Cricetulus griseus: one gene and its partners. The protein of the gene in region 3 interacts with the protein of the main gene of each other region in a pairwise test. Links are inferred from orthologs where the notes say so. Each region holds a gene or a part of one and is shown on either strand. Other genes may lie near its edges.

Evidence for each region.
Region 1: the proteins of Katnal1 (region 3) and Katnbl1 interact in binary tests that used the Homo sapiens proteins (3 or more experiments, as listed by UniProt). The two-hybrid records come from large-scale screens. The link is inferred for Cricetulus griseus from reciprocal best matches to the Homo sapiens genes KATNAL1 and KATNBL1.
Region 2: the proteins of Katnal1 (region 3) and cytochrome c oxidase copper chaperone interact in binary tests that used the Homo sapiens proteins (3 or more experiments, as listed by UniProt). The two-hybrid records come from large-scale screens. The link is inferred for Cricetulus griseus from reciprocal best matches to the Homo sapiens genes KATNAL1 and COX17.
Region 4: the proteins of Katnal1 (region 3) and Klc4 interact in binary tests that used the Homo sapiens proteins (3 or more experiments, as listed by UniProt). The two-hybrid records come from large-scale screens. The link is inferred for Cricetulus griseus from reciprocal best matches to the Homo sapiens genes KATNAL1 and KLC4.

Annotation. Positions count from the first base shown.
Region 1 is NC_048599.1:65,977,121-65,983,224, forward strand, and holds the start of Katnbl1 (KATNB1-like protein 1), read right to left. Parts: upstream 3,874-6,104; 5' UTR 3,723-3,873; intron 1-3,722.
Region 2 is NC_048597.1:51,783,055-51,789,231, forward strand, and holds the start of cytochrome c oxidase copper chaperone, read right to left. Parts: upstream 3,874-6,177; 5' UTR 3,781-3,873; coding exon 3,674-3,780; intron 1,687-3,673; coding exon 1,602-1,686; 3' UTR 1,598-1,601; intron 1-1,597.
Region 3 is NC_048597.1:84,712,322-84,717,816, forward strand, and holds part of Katnal1 (katanin p60 ATPase-containing subunit A-like 1), read right to left. Parts: intron 4,504-5,495; coding exon 4,369-4,503; intron 1-4,368. UniProt on the Homo sapiens protein: Regulates microtubule dynamics in Sertoli cells, a process that is essential for spermiogenesis and male fertility. Severs microtubules in an ATP-dependent manner, promoting rapid reorganization of cellular microtubule arrays.
Region 4 is NW_023276806.1:256,060,905-256,067,183, forward strand, and holds the start of Klc4 (kinesin light chain 4), read right to left. Parts: upstream 3,874-6,279; 5' UTR 3,741-3,873; intron 3,565-3,740; exon of another isoform or gene 2,819-3,564; intron 2,199-2,818; 5' UTR 2,175-2,198; coding exon 1,917-2,174; intron 576-1,916; coding exon 345-575; intron 1-344. Other genes in the region: Mrpl2 (39S ribosomal protein L2, mitochondrial), read left to right, coding at 4,069-4,158, 5,135-5,300, 6,013-6,154, 6,267-6,279.

The DNA.
Region 1 (6,104 bases), on a different chromosome or scaffold from region 3:
CTTTAAAATCTGCTTTCCTGAAAATGTGGCCATAGATAGCTCTGTTGGTAGTGTTTGCCATACAAGCACGAAGACCTGAGTTTGATACCCAACACCAACTGGAATAGTGCTAAAGAGGTGGCTCTCAGGGGCTTGACAGGAATTGGAAAGCCCCAGGTCTCAGTGTTTTCAAAAAACAAGGGCAGATAGCTTCTCAGGAACATCCAAGGCTGATCTCTGCCCTCCACATACACAGCTGGGATGCTGAAACACAAATAATAAAACAAACAGAAACAAGAAAGGAGGTTTTTAATGGTTTTCTAGACTGGGAAATCCAAGATTCAAAGGCCACATCTAGTGAGGGCCCTCTTCCTACAATAACATGGTGGAGGGCAACACAAGTGTGGGGTATGAGTGAGAAAGTGGAAAAGGCAAGTAGAAGAGGACAGAGCACAACTGGAACTCCAGAATTACAGAAGCCATGGCATTAACCTATTCATGGGCATGGAGCTTATGACCTCAATATCTCCCACTAGACAACAACACTTAACACTGTCAATGTTACCTATAGTCATGTATTGAAGCCTTGAGCCCAGCTGGTTGTGCTATTTTGGAAGGTGTTGAAAACTTTAGGTGGTGGGTTAAAGCTGGGGGAAGCAGTTGCCCACCAGGATGCCTATCATCTTGCACTACATCTTGTCTCCAGGCCCTTCCTGTCTTTGTCTCTGTATATGTTGTTTGTCTGTCTTCCCCCACTCACTGTCACAATATTTTGCCTTGCCTCAGGCCCAAGCTATGAATTCAGTCAACACTGAGTTAAAACCTCTGAAATTGTTTTTCAGGTATTTATCACAGTTACCAAAGAACTAACAGTTACAATGACAAATTAGTTTTGAAGGGTTCATTTACACAACAGCAATCAAGTAACATGACTGATAAAACACCAATACTGATTGGTGTATTTTATGACATTCTGTATGAGCCACATATTTTTAAAGATAATTTCCCATTCCCTCAGTGAGAAGTGCAGGTGGGAGTTGCACTTGCGAGGCAGAGGCAGGAAGATCTTTGTGAGTTTGAGGCCAGTCTAGTCTACAGAGTTCCAGGATAACCAGAGCCATTACAGAGAAACCCTGCCTCAAAAATCCAAAAAAGTTAGGTTTTAAGACACAAAAACTCAAAATTAGCCCTTTAAACTCTCTGCTTCATGACCAACCAAGATTAATCCCAGCACTCGAGAGGCAGAGGCAGGTGGATCTTTTTAATTCAAGGCCAGCCTGGTTTACTGAGCTAGTTACAGGCTGACAGCCAGGACTATACACAGAAAACCTGTCTAAAGAAAACAAACAAAAAAATATTAACAGTGGTTTTATTGAGGGGCAAGTGTTTATAACTGATTTATTTAAACATTAAAAATTGATTTAAAATTATTCATAAAATATTTGTGTGTGCGTGCACATGCTAGACTATGAACAAAGGTCAAAGGGTAACATTAGAAAATTGCTTTTCTCCTTCTACCTTGTTGAGGAAGGGTCTCTCGTTTTTTTTACCATGCCGTAATATTACTACAGATTAGGTGGCCCTCAGGTTCCTGTGATTCTGTCTCCCATCTTTCCTCTGCCTCCCATCTTATGGTAGGGATTAGAGCCTTGTGACTCCTTACCTACCTTTTGGGGGCCTGTGGGGTTTTGTTTTTTTTATTGTGGGTTCCAGGATCAAACTCAGGTTATCAGACTTGCATCCTACACTGACATTTGGAGTAATTGTTTCTTATGGAGATCTGATTGTAGGATGTTTAATAAGTACTCCAGAGTCTGTGGTCAACAGATTGACAGTATCACAAGAGTCTCACATCCCCAAATGTCCTATGGAGGGGGAAAAATGCACTCAGTTGAGATCCACTGACATAAAAGTTTATAAATTCCCAAATCCGTGTGTGTGTGTGTGTGTGTGTGTGTGTGTGTGTGAGAGAGAGAGAGAGAGAGAGAGAGAGAGAGAGAGAGAGAGAGAGAGAGAGAGAGAGAGAGAGAGAGAGCTCATGGACATGTCTCATTTACAACATTCCCCAGTCTTGCTTCATATAATATTAACCAACATGAACTTCCAAAAGACCAGGCTAAATGTTCCCAATAAGTCATTTTTTTTTTCTGGATTCCCAGTCTTCGAACAATTTCCTCGATAAAATACCCTACCTCTCCTTCTACTAACTGTCTTATATAAGCTTTTCAACTGTTAGCTCTACAGTACTTACTGAGTTCAGATTATCACTCAGATACCCACTGCACCAACAGAGAAGAGTATCACATATGTTTTTGCTACTAATTTCACACCAAATTAACTTCATATTTGTTACCTGGTACATGTCTTGCATATAGCTGACTAGACTCAGTACTGTGCTGGACAGTGAGGCAATCAAAACCTTGGTAACCGATGAAGGTGGTTTTAAAGGTTTGGGTATAAATAATAGTGAACTGTTGACTACTCATGAAGTGGTTTGCTTTGGGATTGCATTTCTTTTCATGGAGTTATTAAGTACATTCATTTCAAATACAAAATAGTGTACCATAGTTTTAAAAAAAATGTTTCCAGCTGTTCTCCACAATCTCTAAAAAATGAACCTACAAACTTTATGACGTCCATTTATCTTAAAAACAATTTTGGGGAAGGGGCTCGGGCATAAAACTTAAGTGTGGCCAATATGAGCAGATACTGTCACTGGTGTGAAGATTGATTCGTGTGTACACAAATGTATACTCACTTAAGAATCTCCGAAGCTGAAGTAAATAAAAAGACAACACTTTGTATATTAGTAAGAAAGAGGCTGAGGAGGCAAACGATGATAATAACACTACCTATTCCAAAGCACGCTCTTAAAACAACTCAGCACACAGAAAACAAAATAAATATTGCTCATCATAGTTTATTACTGACCAGGTAAAAGCCTCCGTGCATAAACTTCTGACTCGAAGAAGCTGATTTAAAAGAAAGAAGAATAATCTTGAATGATTTTACACAAGTTGCAGGTATTAGAAGGACTCGTGTCTCAGAATGCTTTAAAGCACGAAATTGGTGACAATTACCGAACTAATTCCTCTCCCAATTACTTTTTTCCTCCGTATCTGCAAAGAAACTGATACAGATGTTTTCAAGGCACTTTATAAGCCACCAGAAAACAAATCAACTCTTTGTTATCTCCGTACGTAAACCCAGTTAAGCGCCTGGGTACAATTACAGAGTAACTTTTCAGAAAGCACGAGGAGTTTTAAAAGTTGCAGTCAACAATTCTTACGCAGCTATGTCAAATTTCTGTCCTGAGAAACAAATTCCGATCTGTCTGGGAATCAAAAATTCCTCCGAAAATAAGGAAATGCCTCAGCCGGGCCTAGACGGCTCTCGCGAAAACCTGTCCTCCTCGCACAGCGATCCTCTCACGCGCCCCGTCCTTCCCTGTGGGGTGTAGACGTCGACTCCACCCGAGGACCAAGAAATGACAGCAGGTTTGGTCCACGCCTCTCCCGCCAGGACCCCCGAGGCCTGCAGCTCCCAGCTCCCAGCCGTGGCCCGCCCGGGGGGTCCGCGGGAGACCGGCGGCCCCACCCGTCCGCGCCCCGCCCCGACCCCGCCGCCTTGCCCGGGAAAGGCCGCCGCCGCGGGGCCTGCAGGTGGGCCCGGCCAGCCGCTCGAGAAGCCTGCGCACGAGCGAGCAGCAGCGGAGATCCCAACCCGGTGCGGCCGTCACTTACCGGCGCCTCATGGTAGCGCAGCGCCTCAGCCCAGCCACTGTGCTGACGAACCGCGCCCGGCAGCTCGGAGCGTCCCCGGGATCCCCAGCCGGGCCCCACTCACAGCCATTCAAACACCGCCGCGCGCGGCCCGCCGGGATAGCTAGCCGTGGGCGTCCGCGGGCCCCGCCCAGCGCAAGCTCCGCCCCCTCGGGTGCCTGCGGGAGGGGGGGACAGGGCGCGTGGCCGCGGCGCCCCCTAGTGGCCATAGGGGCTCACGGACGCTTTGCTATGGCGGGGTTAAGAAGGCTACTAGAACAGAGGCACCCAGGAAAGAAAGACCCTGGGGGCTAGGGATACTCTAGTAAGGGACTACACCCGGGCCTCAAGGAGAGATGAACATTTATTCTCATTGAAACGACCAGGATATAGTGGTTAAAAAGCGTAGACTCTGGAACTGTGAGACTTTAAACAAATCACAGGAACTTAGTGTGTGTGCTTTTGATTTCCTCGTCTGTAAAACCAGAATGATAACAATGTATCTGCCTCTTAAGGTTGCTGTGGATAGCAAATGGGTTGATACAAACAAAATTATTCCGAGAGTACCTGGCTCCTGGTAAGCTCTACGTAATTCCTGACTATCTTGTTTTGTTTCCTGTTATGTGCCAAACTTCGAGAATCTCTTTAACAGTTTTTAGAAACTTTATTATTTAAAAAATACCTTGCAACTCCAAGCCTCCAAAACTCACAGACTGCTGCAAGAAACTTAAGACAGGAAATGTGCATATTAAAGGCCCTCTTCTTGGGAAGCAAGTTTAGTTTCATCAGGGCAGGAATGTTTGACTATGAGATTAGGATTGGTTCTGTCCCCGGCACATTTTTAATTACTGAGAACAATTCTCTTGATAAGAGTCTAGTCAGGGTAAGCCACTGGTCAGGGTTAAAAAACCTGAGATAGTAAGATTGTCTTGTACGGTGGTCTTCCCCTGTGCAGAAGTCAGAGTGATAGTCCCGATACATCACACTGAGTGAAGTTATGAAAGGTATATCCTAAATACTGTGGGCATACAGAGCACTAATTGGAGCTAAGGGGCCATTAAGTGATTGTAATGTAATGTATTTTCCTTCTGTAGTAACGGGGCGCTCACTTAACCCCCCAAAATAAGTAATAATAAAAATTTGAAGCAACCATTTATGACAATGGGAAAATATTTTTAGAACACTGTGTGAGCAACGTCTTTGAGACTTTCTCAGATGATGCCAAGCACAAGCAGGCACATGTGTGGCCACACCTGTTAGCTCCCGCTGGCTGAGTGTGTGAAAGGAACTGGGGCAAGACAGAGTATTTGTGAGCATGGCTTCTACTAGGTAGGTGGTGGTGTTTTAAAATAAAAAGTTAACACACATGAAGTCACTTTCTCTCAAGGTATTTCTTCATCATCATAAACATGAATTTCTTGATAGCCTACCAAGCAATAAAGATCATTGCTGTGCCCTCAGTGGAGGAGAATCAAGAGAGTAAGACATGTTGCTTATCTCAAGAGCAGCTGGATGGTGTGGTAGCAAATAGTAGAGAGCCAAGACTGCTTCATTAACATTAATCTCAGAATTAAGGAGTCCAAGCCAGATGGTGGTGGCATACACCTTTAATCCCAGCACTTGGGAGGCAGAGGCAGGTGGATCTCTTTGAATTTGAGGCCAGTCTGGTCTAGCGAGCAAGTTCCAGGGCAGCCAAAGCTACACAGAGAGACCCTGTCTGGAAAAACAAGCAAACAAAAGGAGTCCAGGTGCCTAATGACCAGAAAAGAATTTCAATGTTCTCACTTATGAACTTGATAATTACAGAGTCTCAAACAGGTTCTTTTCTAGACCCAGATTCTAAGGTTTACACCAGTGATGAGCTGCCCAGGTTTCCCAGCTCTCAGACTTTAGCATAGAGACTGAAGAAAGCTGTGCTGGTATTGAAACTTTTGAAATACATAACAATCATTCCACTTTGATATTGAAAGCATCAATACTTTTCCTATCGATAAAGTTGAATTTTTTCTTCATAACCATAAAGTTTGGTTGTTTGTTTTTATTAAAGAAGTATGGCATGGACCTGGGGAAATGCCTCAGTTGGTGTATTTGCAAGCACAAGGACCCGAGTGCAAACCTCGGAATCCATATTTTAAAAGCTAGGTGTGATGGCAGATGGTTATAATCCCAGTGATGAGGAGGTGGAGACAGGTGGGTGGATACCTGGGGCTCCCTGACCAGCTGGTAGACTACTAAAAAGGGGAGGGCGACTGAGGAGCATAGTGCCACTTGCCTTTAAACGCTGGCACCCAGGGAAAGAAGCAGGCAGATCTCCGAGTTCGAGGCTAACCTGGTCTACAGAGTGAGTTCCAGGATAGCCTGGGC
Region 2 (6,177 bases), about 33 Mb from region 3:
GGAACCAGAAATGGAGTTGTGTACCATTTCAACAGCCTGCCACACCCTGACTTCATGGTACTGGCTACACAAATCAGAAGGGGCTGGCTGTGAAAGAGCCAGCCCTGATTAACACCTATTTAGGTTTTGAATCAAGGAACTTTTGTGATCACTGCTGGAACAACCCAGTTTGTAAAGTATTTTTCCTCTGAAGAGGTTCTCAGAAAATATGGTCTATCAGTCTAAGAGACACACCAATTTGATCAAGCTCATCTCAGAGCAGGGCGGGTAGTTGTGCTGGAGTTTACTACAGCCAGGGGCTTGGCTCTAAGGTATATGCTCCCATGCATTCCAGCAAGAGCTCTTTTTCATTAGCATTCATTATAAGTCTTAGTATTGAAGATTAAGGTAATGTACGATCCCAAAACTGGGCATGCTGGCCGTAAGAGCTCACAAAGTGTTAGGAGGAAAACACACAGTGCCTCTGTTCAGAGAATGTAATCCCACCACTGCCCTTCACTGTGGCTCCAAAATTCCCCCATGATGCTCTAGGCAAAGCTTAACCTAACAGTGGAGAAAGAGCTAGAACAAAAAGGCCATGTACATACAGGTGTTGGGGCCTGTGTGTTTAAACACTCTTCTTCTCCTGTTACACTTCTTATGGGTAAGTGGCACTCATCTCCTTTCTATACTTCAAAGACCATGAGGAGTCATGTGTGACATTCCAAAGAGAGGTGAAAGAGAAAGAAACCAGCTCTCCACTATTATCAAGCTGGCATGTGGCTTTGCTATCTTTCTGATGTTGCTAAATTAGGAGTGGCAGTGAGGTGTGACCTGAGAGAGGCACAAATAGAATGTTTGCCTGGAGGTGGAGGTTCCCTCCTTCTGATCCTGCTAAGCCCACCTCAGGAATCCTGCTACACTGAACCACCACTAATTCCCTATTCATTCACACATTCACTTAATGAACAGTACCCTATCCAGCACCTGCTATGCGCCAGGCAGTGTTCTAAGTGCTCGGGGACAGGCTGGGAGTGAAACCGGACGCTTCCCAGAGCATACATCCTAGCTGGAGGGAAGCAGGGTGATCATTGTAAGAAGATGCTCAGAGTACAGGTGGTGACCATAAAGACAAGAGTAGCTGCTAGCCACCTACAACTGTTAACCTTTTTCTAAATTGAGAACTCAGTTCCCCGACCTCATTAGGCCCAATTTAACTGCTAGCGTTTACCATTGGAGAATGTAGCTACAGGACGCCTCTACCACCGTAGGAAGATATGGCTGGAACAGTGGCAGGGAAACATGCTCCTACTTCACATGGGGCATGGGAGGGAAAAGCCTCACTAACAAGACCTTAATGCAGACTGTGATGTAACTCCAAAGGCTGTTGTCAAACCAGTTCTCAAAAGCTTAACACTCGTGTCTCAGACTTCCTGGTTGCTCTCAAACTGTTGCCATCATTCACCACCCCATACTAGGAACAGAAAAGCTACCTTTAAGTGCTATTGAAACACGCTAGATTAATGGGGGGGGGGGGCGCTACCTTCTCGGAAGAATGCTGCCTGGCAGCTAACTCTGTAGAGTAATACACAGACTTGAAGCAATGCGGTTAACTCACCACGTCATATCTTAAACCCCAGAGCTCTCATGCACTCCTTGTGGGCCTCAATGAGATGTCCACAGTGTTCTTCTCCTTTCTCAATGATGCTGTAAAATAAAGTGCATTGGTTACCTAATAAACTGACATTAAGCACATTGGTGGGGAATATGACAGCGCAGGCCAGTGAGTCAGTGAAGTACACAGAATGTGGCTGAAGTCAGAAACAAAACTCTACTATACCAAACAGCTTGGCTCCTTTGCTCCCTGTATTTGTTCTTATGATGGTTCCACAGAAATAAGGTTCTGAGGTTTGTTTTTGTTGTTGTTTGGGGAAGGTTCTAACTAGGTGAAACAATTATGCATAGCAAATGGTATCTTTAGTCTATACTCAAGGAATAATAAACATTTCTTTAGAGTGAAATAAACTGAGTAAAATATTTATATTAAATGAAGGGACGAGGTTAACTTGTGGGCCCATTATTGTACAGAAACTAACTTCCTGTTTCTCCTTACATTCAAACACACTTAAACCTACTTTTAATCATTAAACACCCAACAACATAAACATCAAAAAAGATCTGGTAGCTACAAGCCACAAGATGAATCCTTCGTTGAAAGATTAAGGGACATTTTACTGATAAAATCTACCAAGTAACTGTAAGAGCTAGAATGTACTGACTCAACGCCTAAAATCACATCTGGAAAGCTAGGGCTGAAAAAATCCTGCATAAGAGGCCAGCTTGGGCTACATGTCAAGATCCTGTCTCAAAGGAGTTGGGAAATGGGAGTCTACTATTAAAATCCTTACCAGCCAATGAGAGACTGGGTGGGATGGACAACCTTACAGAAATGCTGGACTCATTCAACACACATGGGTAGCAGACATGTGTTAAGTACCTTGTACAAAGTCACCAAGTCAGAGGATCGGTCTTCAAGGTCTGTCTGTATTTCTAAGCTCCTAATCTTGACATCACATTTCCTAAAGTTTCCATAAGCAGGTATTACTATTGCAGGACCCTCAGTATCAGACAGATCTTTAAATTCTCCACTTACAGTATGGCTTGCAAAGTAGTGATGATAATAGAGTGTACTAAGGTACACTCTTACTATCTTACTACATAGCCAAATAATTTCTCTTTTGTGTATGGCTTTTTTTTTTTTTTTAAGACTTGGTCTCACTGTTGCTCAGGCTAGACTTAAGCAGTGGCAATCCTCCTGCTACAGTCCCCCCAGTAATGAGATTACAGGCATGAGCACCGTATCTGTTTCTACTATCACTTTTCTACTTTGATGGGACAGATGGAGACATATAGTCACATTAACGGAGGACTCCTAATGAGATCTTCGCCAGAATCTGCGACATCATAAAAGTGAGATCAAACAAAACCTTTCGTGACTTGGTAAGGTAAACATTAATGTACCTATATTGTAGACAGGTTTTAAAATGTATGTTTTTATGTGTATGGTTGTTTGGCCTACACGTTTTTTTGGTACACCATGAATATGCAGTGCTCGTAAAAGCCAGAAGAAGGCGTCGGACTCCTCGGGGACTGGAGCTAAAGAGTCTTGTTAGCGACCAGGTGGGTGTTGGGAATCGAAGCCAGGTCCTCTAGATGGGTAACCAGTTCTCTTAAAACACACAGCCATCTCTCCAGCCCCAGACAGGCTGCCTTTTAACCTTCGGCCCGTTAAAAGTGGAAAGGGGAGCCATACAAAAATGTATCCTGTGTCCTACTACACGCGCACGTTTTGGAAAAATTCTTAGAAATTACCTGACTGTTTTACACTTTGGCCTTGCTAAGTGGTATAATGATGGCTGTTCCTTTAAGCCAAAGCATACGCACTTCTATACATCCGGACCTAATACCCAGGAAGGGTCAAGGGCATGGTAGCAAGGAATAAAGGAGAACCTTGGGGCCAACCTGACCTCTTGCCCTCTCCCGTTACCCTAACAGACGGAGGTGCGCGTTCAGGGAACAGAGGCGGCTGCGAAGCTATGGGTTCCGGTCACTCCGGAGTGCCGGAGAGCAGAGCGGAGCGGAGCTGAGCTGAGCCTACGGAAGCCCGGCCGTCCCTCCCCGGCTGCGCACTGACCACGCATCGCGCGCCTTCTTGGTCTCCGGGCAGGCGCAGCACGGCTTCAGCGGCTTCTTCTCCTGAGCCTCAGGCGGGGCAGGGCTGGCGGCGGCCAGACCCGGCATCTTTCCAGCCGAAAGCAGCGGCGAGCGCACACGCCCAAAGATCCCAAGCAGTGGCCAACCTGAGTTGTCTGCATCCACTTCCGCAGTCACGCTAAAGAGGGCAGGAAGTCCCGCCTCTCAGAACCGCAGAGAGCCTCAGATGCGCGTGTGCAAAATAAGCGGGAGGAGGGAATTGACCTCAGGGCGTGGCTTCGGGCGCAGGCGCAAAGGTGAAAAGGTCGCCAGAATGTTTTCTATTTTGGAGACTGTTAATTTAATTGCAACATTTTTCCCTTTCCCTTTCCTCCCTACAAACACATATGCATACCCCTTCCCCGCTGTCCTTCAAATTCCTGGCCTCTTTTTTTTTAAAACTGTTATTGTACATATATATTCCTAAATATAACATATTCAGTTCAGTACCTGTATGCATGTTTTCAGGATTGACCTTTCGTCACTAAACAACCAATTTTGTGTGCTCTTCCCTGGGGAAGGCCTCCTTTCCATTCCCAGCTTTCCTCTGTTGCTTCACATAGAGTTGAGGCATCATCGACTTCTCCTTCGGATTTGACTTGCTCATTTCACCCAGAGTGTTAAAGTGTATTTGGGCAGGTCTTGCAAAGGTGGAGGGTAGGGAAACAGCTGAGAGCTAAAACCCTAGCATGGATATTGAAATGAGAGCCGAAGAAAACAAAATGACTTCTCTGAGAGCCATAAGAGAGACCATTAGTGAAAGCCAGTTCCTTTGAGTACCAGATCCTGGGGCATCTCATGATCGCCTTCATTCCCCTCCCCCTTCACGTTGTTCAATCTATAGATGTTGGGGGCAAAGGTCTCCTACCTCCTATTCCTCTCAGGCATATACGCTAAATCTTCAGCTAACACCCCATGAAATAGTTGTTATGAAAGAAGAGCTGAAGGGTTTTATTTTTTGTCTAGTTTCAACTGTCATGCTCTGTCTCTCTCTCTCTCTCTCTCTCTCTCTCTCTCTCTCTCTCTCTCTCTCTGTGTGTGTGTGTGTGTGTGTGTGTGTGTGTGTGTGTGTGTGTGTGTTGGATAAGTGAATAAAAAGGTAACTGATTCTGAAAGTGTAAAACCCTCCATTGCTTCAAACCGGCCATTCTAACTCTATAGAAGTTCACTAAGATGGGACTGGGCACATGCTTGTGTGACTTCCTTACACTAGCTTTGAGCTAATGGGAGGGAGGGTTGTTATTTTTAAAAATACAAATATTTTAGACAGGGTCTCTACCCTAAGCTCGATGACCCTGAACTGATCATTAAGTGTGAGCCATCCAGGCCTGGATTAGAAGGGCTTCCCGAATGCTAGGCTCTATCAACTGAGTTATGTATCTTCAGTTCCCAAATGGTTTTAGTATAAATTGTCCAATCATATATTTGTCACTATGCCAATTAATAAAATTAAAAATATGTTTTCCTGACATTTCTTAAATCTGAGTAGGAACAGTATAATCTCCAGCACAGTAGCTTCCATGTAGTGCTGAGTTTGTGAGTCATTTAATCTTCATAACAAACTGAAGTTCTGGGATGGATGTCATTTGTTCAGAGTTAAGTAGCTCCCGAGGTTCTACCTCTCCTGGTGTGGCATTTACTATCTCATGCAATGTATCTAAATGCAAAGTAACTTTTATTTTAGAACCGCTAACCTGTATTTTCTTGTGCTACTGCATCTTGTAAGTATATTAAATGAGCAAGAAAGAAAAAGAGAGAACTGAAAAATTTAGGGAATTACGAGGATTGAGTTTGATACAAATTGTAGGCCAAAAGAGGGAAAAAAGAAAAACTAAAACTTTTTGTAACTGATGTTTTTTTTTTTCATCCCATTTTTCCCTTTGTGAAGGAAAGTTCCTGAAATGAATCCCACCTCACTCTGAACTTCCTGCAAGGCTGATCAATTGATTAGAACTTCAATGATGTAGGGAGGGTGGAATATTAGTCTACAGTCAAGTTGTCTTGGAGCAGCTTTAGTTAGCCCCCTTAGTTGGCTTTTATTGCCCCTTCGGTACATGACCTCATATCTTTGTGAGCATTAGGTAAATCCTTTGGAATATACAAACAGACCCTCTAGTTCCCACCAACCTAAAGGCTAAGACTACTATCTGAGAGTGACTATGGCTGAGATTTCCTCACCTTCTTGTGACTGTCTACCTAATGTTTTTACCACTATATTTGGGGAGTATTTTGATTTATGATTTTTTTGATCTTTTACTTAAAACTACATGAAACTGTTGCCATATTGGAATGTGGAATTTGGAGTAATGTGAAACTGTGTTCCCATGGCCATGGCCATTCATATCTGTCTCCAGAATAAACTACCTCTTGTCCTCTTTGATGTGAGAGTTGTATTTTTGTGTTGAACCCCCTTTTTTTCTTAACAGAATTGGTATTGACTGGCCA
Region 3 (5,495 bases):
TCTTCCTCTCGGTCTTCTCTCTCCCTCCATGACCCAACACACAGACAGAGAGATGAACTCTATAGGTTCTTTTTTTTTTTGAAAACCCTAACAGAGGATGCCCTAGTTTCTTTCTTTTGCTGTGATAAAATATTCCAACTAAAAGTAACTTATCAGAAGAACAGGCTTATTTGGCTCACACTTCCAGGTCACAGTCCATCACTGCAGAAAGTCAGAGCAGGAACTCAAGTAGGAACCTGAAGGCAGGACCTCTTACTTACTCCACGAAGTATTATGTTCAACCAGCAAACTCACAGCCAAGGACATACAACAGAAACATGGAAGGATGCTTCTTGATGGCTCACAGACTCACACTTGGCTAGCTTTTTTATATTGCCCAGGTCCAACTGCATAAGGATGGGACTACCCACAGTAGACTGGGCCCCCCTACATCAACTAATAATCAAGACAATTCCCCATGGACATGCTCACTGGCCAATCTGATGTAGGCAACCCATTAAGACTCCTTTCTCAGGTGACTCTAGACTGTGTCAAGTTGAAAGTTAAAGCTAACTAGGACAGAAGGGATCTCATTAGATTGTACTACAGTCCTAGACCAGTCAATCTAGAAGCAACTCATTCCCATGACTGGCAAGATGGTGGCTATTAGTATAAGTCTTCAGTTCCCATGTGGGCTTCCCCATGGTTGCCAGAGGAACTCATGTCATGGCTGCTGGCCCTCAAGGGACAAAATAAGGCAGAAAATATTCTTTTTCTGACCTAGGTTTAGACCTTAGCATCGTTTCTGCCACACTCTATTACCACCCAACCAATGTCGGGAAGAATTCTGAGAAATAAAGGGAAGGAAGAGACAAAAGTGAATGAGACAATGATGAAGAATCCCAGCAAAATAACAGAAACTATTTAAAAACTGGAAATGAAAGATTTGCAAAGCAGACCTAAAATGAAAATTCACAGGAAAAGAGACTGCAGAGGAAATGCTCGGTAAACAAATGTAGAAGGAGCCTATCAGGAAAAGGGTTAGAAGAAACAAATAGCACCCCAGTGATGGTTGCAGTAGGACCAAGATGTCCAACACACATGCAGAACAAAGAAAAAAGGAAACCCCACATTACAGCCAACTACTAAAATACAAAGTGCACCATCTTAAAAACAACAAGCAAGTCAGTGACCAGCCTGTTGCTATAGCCAAACATGTATCACCAATGTCACTTCTCAGCATTGATGCAGGAGAAACTAGAGCATCTGCCACACAACCAACCAACCATCAATGCTCATAGCAGCCTCATTCACAATGGCCTTAAACTAGGAATGGTCTAATATCAACCACTGGGAATGGAGAAAGTCTGTGATATGTCCACACAATGAAACAAACAATGAAATATCAGCCCAGGTGGGAGAAGGAAGGCAGACTGGGAAGGGCTCCAGAAGCCTCTTTAGGAAGAAAGGGTGGACTTGCTTCTTGGTATATGGTCTCATGGTGGTACACAGCTGCCATAGCTCAGCATCTGATGTGAATAAAGTTTATTGTGTCTAAGTCATTCCTCAGTAAAACTGATTTTTAAAACAAAGAATTAACCAGGGAGGAAAAGATACCCCTCAACATACAAGGGGACAATGACATGAATGACAACTGACATCACATAAGAACAGGCTCAGAGTAGCCCAGCAGCACAGGGAATAAGAGGCCCTAGATGCTCTTCCTCCTGATCTGGGGAGACAATGTCTTAACCTCACCAAAGCTCAGAACCATCTAGCAAGCCACAGCGTGAACTTTGTGGAAATGGGTGAGAAAAGCCGCCTGGCTCTGCAGTTAGTTCTTCCCCCTAGCTAACGGCTCCTAGGTTAAGGAGGAAAAGGCCAGCTTGGAGCTTCCCTTGGGAGGGAATGAGAAGAGGGAGGCATGTGCCCCACATTCCAGCTTCCATAGCACTGCCAAAGGACTTGACTCCGCTGGCTCAGGCTTCAAGCATAAAGGAAGAAGAATCGGTACCCCTTGGCCTGAGAGCCACCAGGAACAGAACTCGGCAGCTGCTGCAGCCCCAGAACCTATGGCACCTTGAATAAAAGCTTGCACAGCTCCACAGGGCTGGACATAGTGTCCCCTGGGAGGAAAGAGAAGAGTGGAGCATGTGTCTGTGTCCGGCATCCAGGAAAACTGTCCGGGGCACTGATTTCCAGCTCACAAGACTGTTTTGCAGGGAGGGTTTACTCTTTTGAGTTTCACTTTCTCCTTTTCTGAAAGCAGAAACAGAGGACCTAGTTGAGGCCTTTCTTCTTTCTTAGGTGCAAATGTTAACATCTGTGACTATTTTACGCACACTGACTCCCATGGTTACACTGATCCAGAGGTGTTACACAATGAAGAACACTTAGGGAGATTTTACTTTCACTTAGTTGCTTCATTTTCCTTCTGTCTATAAGAGCTGTTGTGGTGACTCCTTCATTCCTAATACTGGCAATTTATCTCTGTTGTTCTTCATTATTTCTCTAGAGATTTGTCAATATTAACATAATGAACAAATGTTTGCCTTGTTAATATTCTATTTCATATCTCACATTTTTCTAATTTATTTCCTCTACACATTTAAACTAATTTCTGTTTCAAAGTCTAACATAGTATCTACTCAAGCCTTTTTCAAGGTATGCATTTACAGACCTTAAAACACTATGTTGGCTTCATATCACAATATTTAGGGTGACATATTTTTCCTACCAAAACACTATTTTCAATTTTTCCAATTTTCTTTGACCCTTCTGTTATTCAGAGCTAACTTGTTTAGTAGTAAAATATTGGGGATAATCTAAATACCTTATTGCTAGTTCCTAATTCAATCCCATTACTATCCGGAATATACTCTGCAAGATGCCAGTTTCTAAGATTTTTATTAAATTGAGAAAAGTCCTCTCAGCAAATGGTACTAGAACTGAATATACTCATGGAAAAAATAAAAGCCCACCCCACAATTCAAGAGAATCACAGGGCTAAATATAGCTTCTAAAAGTAAACAGAAGAAAGCTTTACAGCCTAGGGGTAAGCAGATATTTTCTAAGATACAGGAAGCCCTATTAATAAAAAACAAAACAAAAAAACCTTTAAAAAAAGGTCTTCACAAATTAAAATACTCTGGCTACCAAGAAAGAACATTAAGAAAATTGAAAACTAAACCACAAATTGGAAGGAAAAAAATTATAAAAATGTAAGTAAAGAGAATTTATATAAAGCATTAATAAAACATTAACTGTTATAAAATGAGGGACACAGTACATAAGTTCACAAAAAGGTGGTCAAGATATAAGTCATCAGAGGAACCAGATTAACCACAATGAGATGCCATTTCACATCAACAAGAGCAAATAAAACGGAAACACTGCCAACAGCAGCTATAGGCAAGGTTGCAGACTGCCCTTCCCATTTATTGATGGTGACAGTGACAATACAACATGTACAACCACTCAGGAAGACAGTTTGAGTATTCCTTATAAAGTTAAGTACAGCTGCCTTGTTAGAAGTGAGCAAAGCATCAGTCTTATAAAGTTAAACACACAGCTCCCCTGACTGACTAACATATCCCATTCATACTACCCAAAGACCTAAAACAGTCATCCACAAAAATATGTATAAGGCTTAAAGCTCTACTCATAATAGCCAAAAACTAGAAGCAATTCCTGTGCCCATCAGAGGGGACTCAACACACAGCAGCATCGTCACATGGACAAGAAATCACTGATAAGCACACTCATACATGCAAATCTCAAAGACTTCTGCAGGACGAGAGTCACTAGACACTGACTGTATGCTGTCACCATACTGTTTACACAATGCTTCGCAAGAGAGAAAACTGGCCTGTGGTGATGGAGGACCAGGCAAATCGCTTATGCAATAGCCATTTAGATGAACTGCTGGGACATCCTTTCTAGGATACTACACTGATTGAACATGATGACACATTTCAGAGAACCAATCATAACACACTTGAGATATACACTTCTCAACGACATATATATTTATCTCAAAGGAAAAGATAAAAATAAGAAATAGGAAACTTCAACATTCAAGAGAAAATCACTTTTGAAAGTCCCCAAGACAACTTTTTTAATATTTAAATTAGGGTTAATGGAATCCAATTTTAGAAGTAAGAACTGGAGTGCTACCAAACTTACCAGCACAAGTACTGCTCTAAGACTAAGGGTTTCTCTGAAATGCAAAGGACTTCACAAGGGCTTTGTTTCTGTCACTCAGATCGTCCCCCTAATGCCACAGAGCTCTTCAAACAAAGTGACAGTGAGACAGAGATTTAAATAAATAGAAAAGGGTTAACAGGAAATGACAGAAAGTTCCAGATCCAGTAAAAGGAAGCATCATACCTGTCGGTAGAGGGATGTAGATCCTTTTTTCTAGTCTCCTTCGAAGAGCTTCATCAATGTCCCACGGGAAGTTAGTGGCAGCCAGAACCATCACCATCTTGGACGGATCGTCATTTTCTAAGGCTCCTCCGACTCCTAGACACAGGGAGCAGGGAACAGGCTATCAATGTTTTGTGATGTCCACTTCAGTCCTTTCCCTCAGCCAGCCTCTCTAAGTGTGAGCCACAGCCCTCAAGTGATGCACCTTCACCATCTCTGTGACCTTGATGGAGTGGCAAAACCAGACATCAACACAGAACAAAACAAAGGGGCTAAAGAATTTGACAACCTAGGGCAGGGCTCTTCCAATCTGTATTTAAGAAAATAGTGCATATTGCTTCTGAAAATTCAGGCTGGGGTCCACTTAGTTCTTTAATGTTTTCACTATAAATTACCTCCCCCCACCTTAGTTTTGGGTTTAATTTAGTTGGCTTTCTCAAGAAGAGAGAACAGCTGACACAGAACAACCAAGGATCTGTGTGCATTGTCTGCTTCTTCACAATTAAACTCATAGGATTAAAAACTATCCAGGCATGGCAGTACACACTTTTAATCCCAGCACTTGGGAGGCCAGCCTAGTCTATGCATTGAGTTCAAGAACAGCAAGATCTACAAAATAAAGAGAACCTAACTCAAAAACAAAACAATAAAAACAACAACAAAACCTTTGAGAGTGTACAGTTGGCTCTGGGCAATACATAGTGAAATATTATTCATACATATGTTCACAAATGTGACAATTTACCAAAGTAGTATATTTTGAGCAACCCAGTTCAGCATGCATAATAAATAAGTCATTACTAAATGTCTTTTTAAATAGTTCTCGTGAGGAATAAACCTCTCCAGCTAGTAAGCAGCCATGATACTGTCCAATGAAATCCTGCTGGCTGGATGTTTATTCAGTGATGCACTGACCCTAATTTTAAACACCTCATTTTCTGCTATGCTTTTCTCCTAAGTAAAATGTGGTCCTTCTGTTCATATATATGCAAGAGCTGAAATGGTACACTAACTGAGGGACAGGTCACCTAGCACACAGTGCCATTGTTGGTCTCTCAATGCCTGATATTGTGTACCACGTGATACGA
Region 4 (6,279 bases), on a different chromosome or scaffold from region 3:
TTCGGTTTGAGAGAAAATTGTAAGGGAGTCTCCTGCCAAAATCGGCTATGCTTTCCCTAACCAAAGCCTGTAGGATTCAGGGTTTCAGTTGCCTGACTATTTACCTTGCTCCACATACTCTTAGCTGTGAGAACAAGTACTTCCGCCCAGTCCCTAGGAGAGTAAACATTTAATTAAGGTTGACAAGTCAAGATTATTTCCCCCTTGCTGTCATCTGGAGTTGCTGTCAAGCCTGAAAATAAAATTCTTCCAAGCGGGTACACGCTAGGCATTGATGTTTCCTGTGGGATGATGGGCAACTGCGCTGCTCATGGTCCCAGCAAACCCTGGTTGTGCGTGCTCACCATGCTGTGCCCATCCTCATCATACTGGCGCAGCTGCCTCAGGAACTCCAGGTGTTTCTTTTCTTCCTCCAGCTGGGCCACAGCCTGTTCACTACGCTGTAAGCGCTGCTGAGTGCCCGCTAGCTCATCTCGAAGCCACTGGTTCTCCTGGCATAGCCGCCGCACTTGAGCCCGCAGCTTCTGCTTTTCCGACTCTACTGTGCTCAGGTGGCTGGCCAGAGCCAGCATCACCTACATGGGAACATCACATAAGAGCATTCAGGGGAGAGATGGCCTTAGGAGAGATGGCCAGTCGGGAGAGGGATAGAGGAAGCAACAAGCAGGAGTGACTGGCAAGAGCTCTACCATCGAAAGATCCTCAGAGGGGCTGGAGCAGTGCTTCTCACTTCCCTAATGCTGTGACCCTTTGATACAGTTCCTCATGTTGTGCTGACTCCAACCATAAAATTATTTCATTGCTACTTCGTAACTGCAATTTTGCTACTGTTATGAATTGTAACATGAATATCTGATATTCGACATAGCTGATATGTAACCCCTGTGAAAGGGTTGTTTGACCCCAAAAGAGATTTCAATCCATAGGGTTGAGAACCACTGGACTGGAGAGCTGGCTCAGTGATTAAGAGCAGTGGCTGTTCTTCTAGAGGACCTAGGTTCAATTACCAGTGCCAACATGGTAGCTCACAAATGTATGTAACTCCAGCCCGAGGGGATCTAATGGCCTCTTCTGGCCTCTATAGGTACCAGGCACATACATATTATACAGACATACATGTAGACAAAACACCTATATACACAAAGCAAATGACTTAAATAAAAAAAGATACCCCAAACCCTGCTTCTTTTCACCAGTTCCATTGTTTTCATCAGATGCCACACCACCAGTTCCCACCTACACAACAGCCTCTCACGGGTCTCTCTACTGTCTGCCCCACAAGACAGGATCTTAGGCTGAATTCCATCACTCCTTAGAACACAGCTCCCATGTCTCTCAATGGAAAAGCAAAGACCCTAGGACAGCCTACCAGCTCTGCATGACCTGTTCCCATCTCCAATGCCATCCCTCTTCTTCCCCTCATTCATCACTCATGCTGAGAAAGTCACACCAGCCAGGCTCAGTGGAAGGCCCTTGCACTTGTCCTCCCTCCTTGGGACCTGTTTCTTCCAGGGCTTGCTCCCTTATCCTCAGGTCTTCGCTCAAATGTTGCCTTGTGAATGAGGCCTTCTATGTACACTCTATATAAAACTGCATCCTCTCTTTCTTTGCTTTATTTTTATCTTTGTGTCCTTAGCAATGATTTCTCTGGCACAGTAAATCATTCACTTATTTATCTATGTCCTATCTGTCTGTCTCTCCCAGCTATAATATCAGCCTCAAGATGGCTAAGAATTGTACTGTTGTGTGCTGTGATACATCACTGGCACTCAGAAGAGTTGACACACAGTAGGCACTCCATAAATATTTAACGAATGAAACAAATCTAAGTTCCTCGGACAAGGAGACCCCAGCTTGCATCAGCTAACCGAGCCTCTATGGACTCTGGAACACTTGGCATCACCTGTAACTCTTACCTGGGCCTCACTCAGTCCCAGTTCAATGTTCTCCATAGACCGTCGCAACTGCCGGGCCTTCTCATGCACCAGCCCTTCCTCATGGCCTCCCTGCTGCAGACACTCAATGGTGTGGGACAGGCTCTGCAGCACAGCCTGATGCTCACTGTGTAGGGCCTCCAGCCCTTGGCTCACCAACCTGGTACTGCCCAGGATCTCTTCTTGGCTGAGCCGGTGTCCTGAGGGCTCATCCCGCTGCCCCAACACCAGGCCTGACATCCTGGAAGGGGGATCTTGCCCGGGCTAGGGAGAAACCACAGAGTTCAGCTGGTAAAGATGGAAGTCATACTGTTAGAGGGTGTCAGGGATCTAAGTAAAGGGAAAAGAGTATGAGAGACCCTGTAGGTGAGCTGACGAAAGAGAAAGAGTAAACATAAAACTAAGGTGAGAGAGAAGAGATAACTCGACTGTAGAATGAACAGGCATGCTTCGAGTTAGAGGAATTTAGGGCTTAGCAGGTGGAAAGAGAGCATGGGTTAGGGAAAGGCAGCAGGACATCTGAAGCATTTCATTGTAAGGGTCATGGAGGGCACTCCGGAGGAACGGGGTTAAAAAAAAAAAAAACAGGATCTGTGCAGAAAACAGCACCCCAGTAGAGGGGCAGGACTCAGGGTTAGGGGAGACAGCGAGAGAGAGCGAGAGAAAGAGAGAGAGGAGGGGGGAACAGAAGTCCTCATTACAGGGAATCTGGAAGGCTGAAGGTCTTCAGGCTGCGTCAGCAAAGCACCTAAGCCCAGCATCTCCCAACCTGGTTAGCTCCATTGCAACTAACCAACCTTCAGACCTCGCTTGCCACCCCCCTCCCCGCCAGGGCTCAGAATGTCTTCCTACTTCCTCAAAACTCATCTTTGAAGTCTCCTTACCTGTGTAAAGAGCAGAGCCCTTGGCTTCAGGCGGCTCCCAGGCCTGAGCCCGGAAGAAACTCTCAACTACAGCTAAGGATTTAGAAAGATCTGCACTGCCCAAAGTCCAGAAGTCCGGCAGTCCCACCCCCTCGCTCTCACCACTTCACAGCCACCCAGAGGACCGGCACGGGGCCCCACCCAGGACAAACACCCTCCCTCCTTCTGCCCACAGGTTCTTCAGAGAGCAGTACTAATGTCCTTTCTTCCGTAACTCGGTCTCCTCATTCCAGGTCTGAGGAGTTACTTTCTCCCAATAAGGGAATGAAAGACTGATTTAATCTGAGACCTGCGGCCAAGGGTGTGCCTGTGAAAGGCTGAGCAGGGAGACCTGGTGAGGATTCCCACCTGGATTCCCGCAATAGGCTCCTTTCATGGCTTTGTCTGTCATGATCACCTAACCGGTACCTTAGGGTGCCTCTCAAGTGCCTGATGGATGGTTCAGGAAAGCATAGCAGATCTGAAAGCACTGTGGGGTCCCAGGGAAAGGCGCTGGGCGCCGGCTACCCTGGCCGGGGCTGCAATTCACGAGTGCCTAAGGTTGCTAACTTGCGCGGAGGCAGGCCCCAGGTTGAGGACAGTGACGCAGGCAGGGACTGAGGGCAGGAAGGTAGGAGTGAGGGCAGAGTCGCCGGTCAAGACCGGACAGCGGACAAGCTCGAGGTCATGGAGTCAGGCGATCCCGCAGTGGGCGGGGCAGGCTGTCCTACTGTCCGTCTGGACGCCGAGGGGCGGGGAAGACTCGCGGGGGGCGGAGTTTTTTAGTCAGCCTGGAGTTTTGGGAGGCTGGTCGGAAGTGGCTTATTCATCTGTCCCCGGAGTGTGGGTGTAAGAGTTGGTACCATGTTAACCCTCAGCCCCAGGGGTCCTCCCCAAGACTCACCTGCAGGCTGTTGGTCCGACCGCCGCCTTCGCGGGGACTGCCCCTTTAAATTCATCATGGCTGCCGCTCGAGGCAATTGTTTTGACGGCTCCGAGGGGCGGGGCCTGTCCTCCAGTCACGCGACCTCAGCGCCCGCCGATAATTGGCTGAGAACTCGCTCTTTAAGGGAGGAAAGGAAGTGTGTATCCCGGGGGCGCTCCAGTTAGGGGCCCGCCTCTTGCGTCATCTGAAAGCGACAGTGCCGGGAATGAAACGTCATCCAAGAGCATCAGGCTCTGCAAAAGGGTAAAGCGTGCAGAGTTGCGAGGAGTGTGACCACCCCTTGGGCATGTACGCGCTCACTAGTGCTCTGCGCTCTCTGAGCCTGGCATCCCCGACCGTTACCGCCCGGGTTCCGACTCTGCTCCCCGCTGCCCAGGTAATCCACTCACCTGGGAGCTTGACTGGTTCCGCCCGGGTTGTCAGTGATCCGGCGAGGCTAGTCACGATCACGTGACCTGGGTAAACCTTCCTTCATCTTCTGCTCTTTATAAATGTTGCTCTCAGAGGAGATACGGGCCTTAAGTGCTTTTGCAGATCTCTGCTAAACAGGTGCCCGCTGTAAACGGGCAAAGTAGACGGCTGCAATGAACGAACTCCTTTCAATCAAGTTACTATGCACATTTTGCAGATGAGAAAACTGGTCAGTAGTCTAAGGTCATACACTTTTTGGGGCTAGACTGGGTTCAGAGCTTCCTTTTGTTTTTGTTATGGTGCTGGGAATTAAACCTGGGACCTTGCTCATGCTATGCACTCCTGCTATGCACTAAACCACCCCAAAGCCAGTGCTCTTAACCATCGTAATGTAAGGATGGCTTGTGGCTGAGATTGGAGAATGCAGAATTTGTAATAGCAGTGAGCAATGCTGCATCACAGAAAAGAGAAATTACCAATCTTGCTTCTCTTAAGTTCTCAGGCTGAGTGCGACAGAATTTAGTAAATGCATATTTGATATTCCAAAACAAACCAAACTACTCTGAAGACCTTGGACTACAGCAGGTGGAAGGTGGAAAAGCAGAGTCATCATTTCCATTCATATGTGGGAATTCCAGGAAACATGCAAAGGGCAAAAGGCATTGGTACTGACAGTGGTGTGTGAGTGTGTGGAATTTACCAGCTTTGGAAAAGGGAATTCTGTAGGGAAGAAAAGGTTTCCTGACAAGAACTTGAAACAAATTGGAAGATGATGACAGGAAGAAATTTTTCAGAGGGGAGAGGGCCAAACGATTACCACACACCTGGACAAACAACACACACACACTTGGATAAACATATTGCACTGGTATTTGTGAAAGTTGGTTGGAAGTTTGGGGGCAGTGGTCTGAGATGCTGCTGAGAATATTTCTTATCCCTAGATACTGAGCAATGCTCTTCAACAGCCCTCTGCCTTGGTGTTGCCTTCTCACCGCCCAGTGCATACATCCGGGGACCTTAATGCCAAGTTTGTGTCCTGGAAGAGTTGCACCAAGTACACAGTTAAACCAATGAAGATGAGGAAGTCTGGGGGTCGAGACCATACAGGTGGGAGAAAGGATCTGAAGCATTGAGGAGGAAAATGCCTTAGGATCCTAAATGTCTGTAGTAGTGCACTGTAGCTCGTAAGATGTCAGATGTACAATTACAAAGCCCTCAGTGAGGTACTTCTTAGTATGTGGGTTGAAGCTGAAGAATAGACCACATAGAACAGTTAATAACAGCTAAAGTTGCCGGGCGGTGGTGGTGCACGACTTTAATCCCAGCACTTGGGAGGCAGAGGCAGGCGGATCTCTGTGAGTTCGAGACCAGCCTGGTCTACAAGAGCTAGTTCCAGGACAGCCTCCAAAGCCACAGAGAAACCCTGTCTCGAAAAACAAAACAAACAAACAAAATAACAGCTGAAGTTATGTGAGCCCAATTTATATTCCTCTCAGGAAACTTACTGAATTCAGTAATTTGAAAAGACTTTATCTGTTTCATACAATTTTCGTAATTATATTTTTATTGAGTCATGTGTTATCCCATCCCTTTTGCCAAGGATGCCGTGGCTCCCTTATGCCCACATGCTGTGGATCAAACCTGAGGCCTCAGTGCTTACAAGGCAAACTCTACCACTGAGCTACACTCCCATCCCTTTGTCATTTTTCTGTTTGTTATATAATATTAAGGGATACTAGTGTCTAGTCTAGGCAAGGCCTGTTAATACTGAAAGCAATTCTAACCTGAATTATATCCCTGAACTGTCTTTTGACTCTAGGCCGTATCCGAGTACATGGTATTGGTGGGGGCCACAAGAGGAACTATAGAATGATTGACTTTCTGCGGTTCCGACCAGAGAAAGAAACCAAGCCAGAACCCTTTGAGGAGAAGGTTGTCGTTGTCCGCTATGATCCATGTAGGCAAGTTTGGGATGTGAGGTGGTGATGGTGTGGTCTGAATTGTTATTTTGTAGCTTCTTAGAAAATGTGGGCCTTCTTGGTGGTCCACTTGTTTGTCCATCATCCTGAACAGGTCTGCAGACATA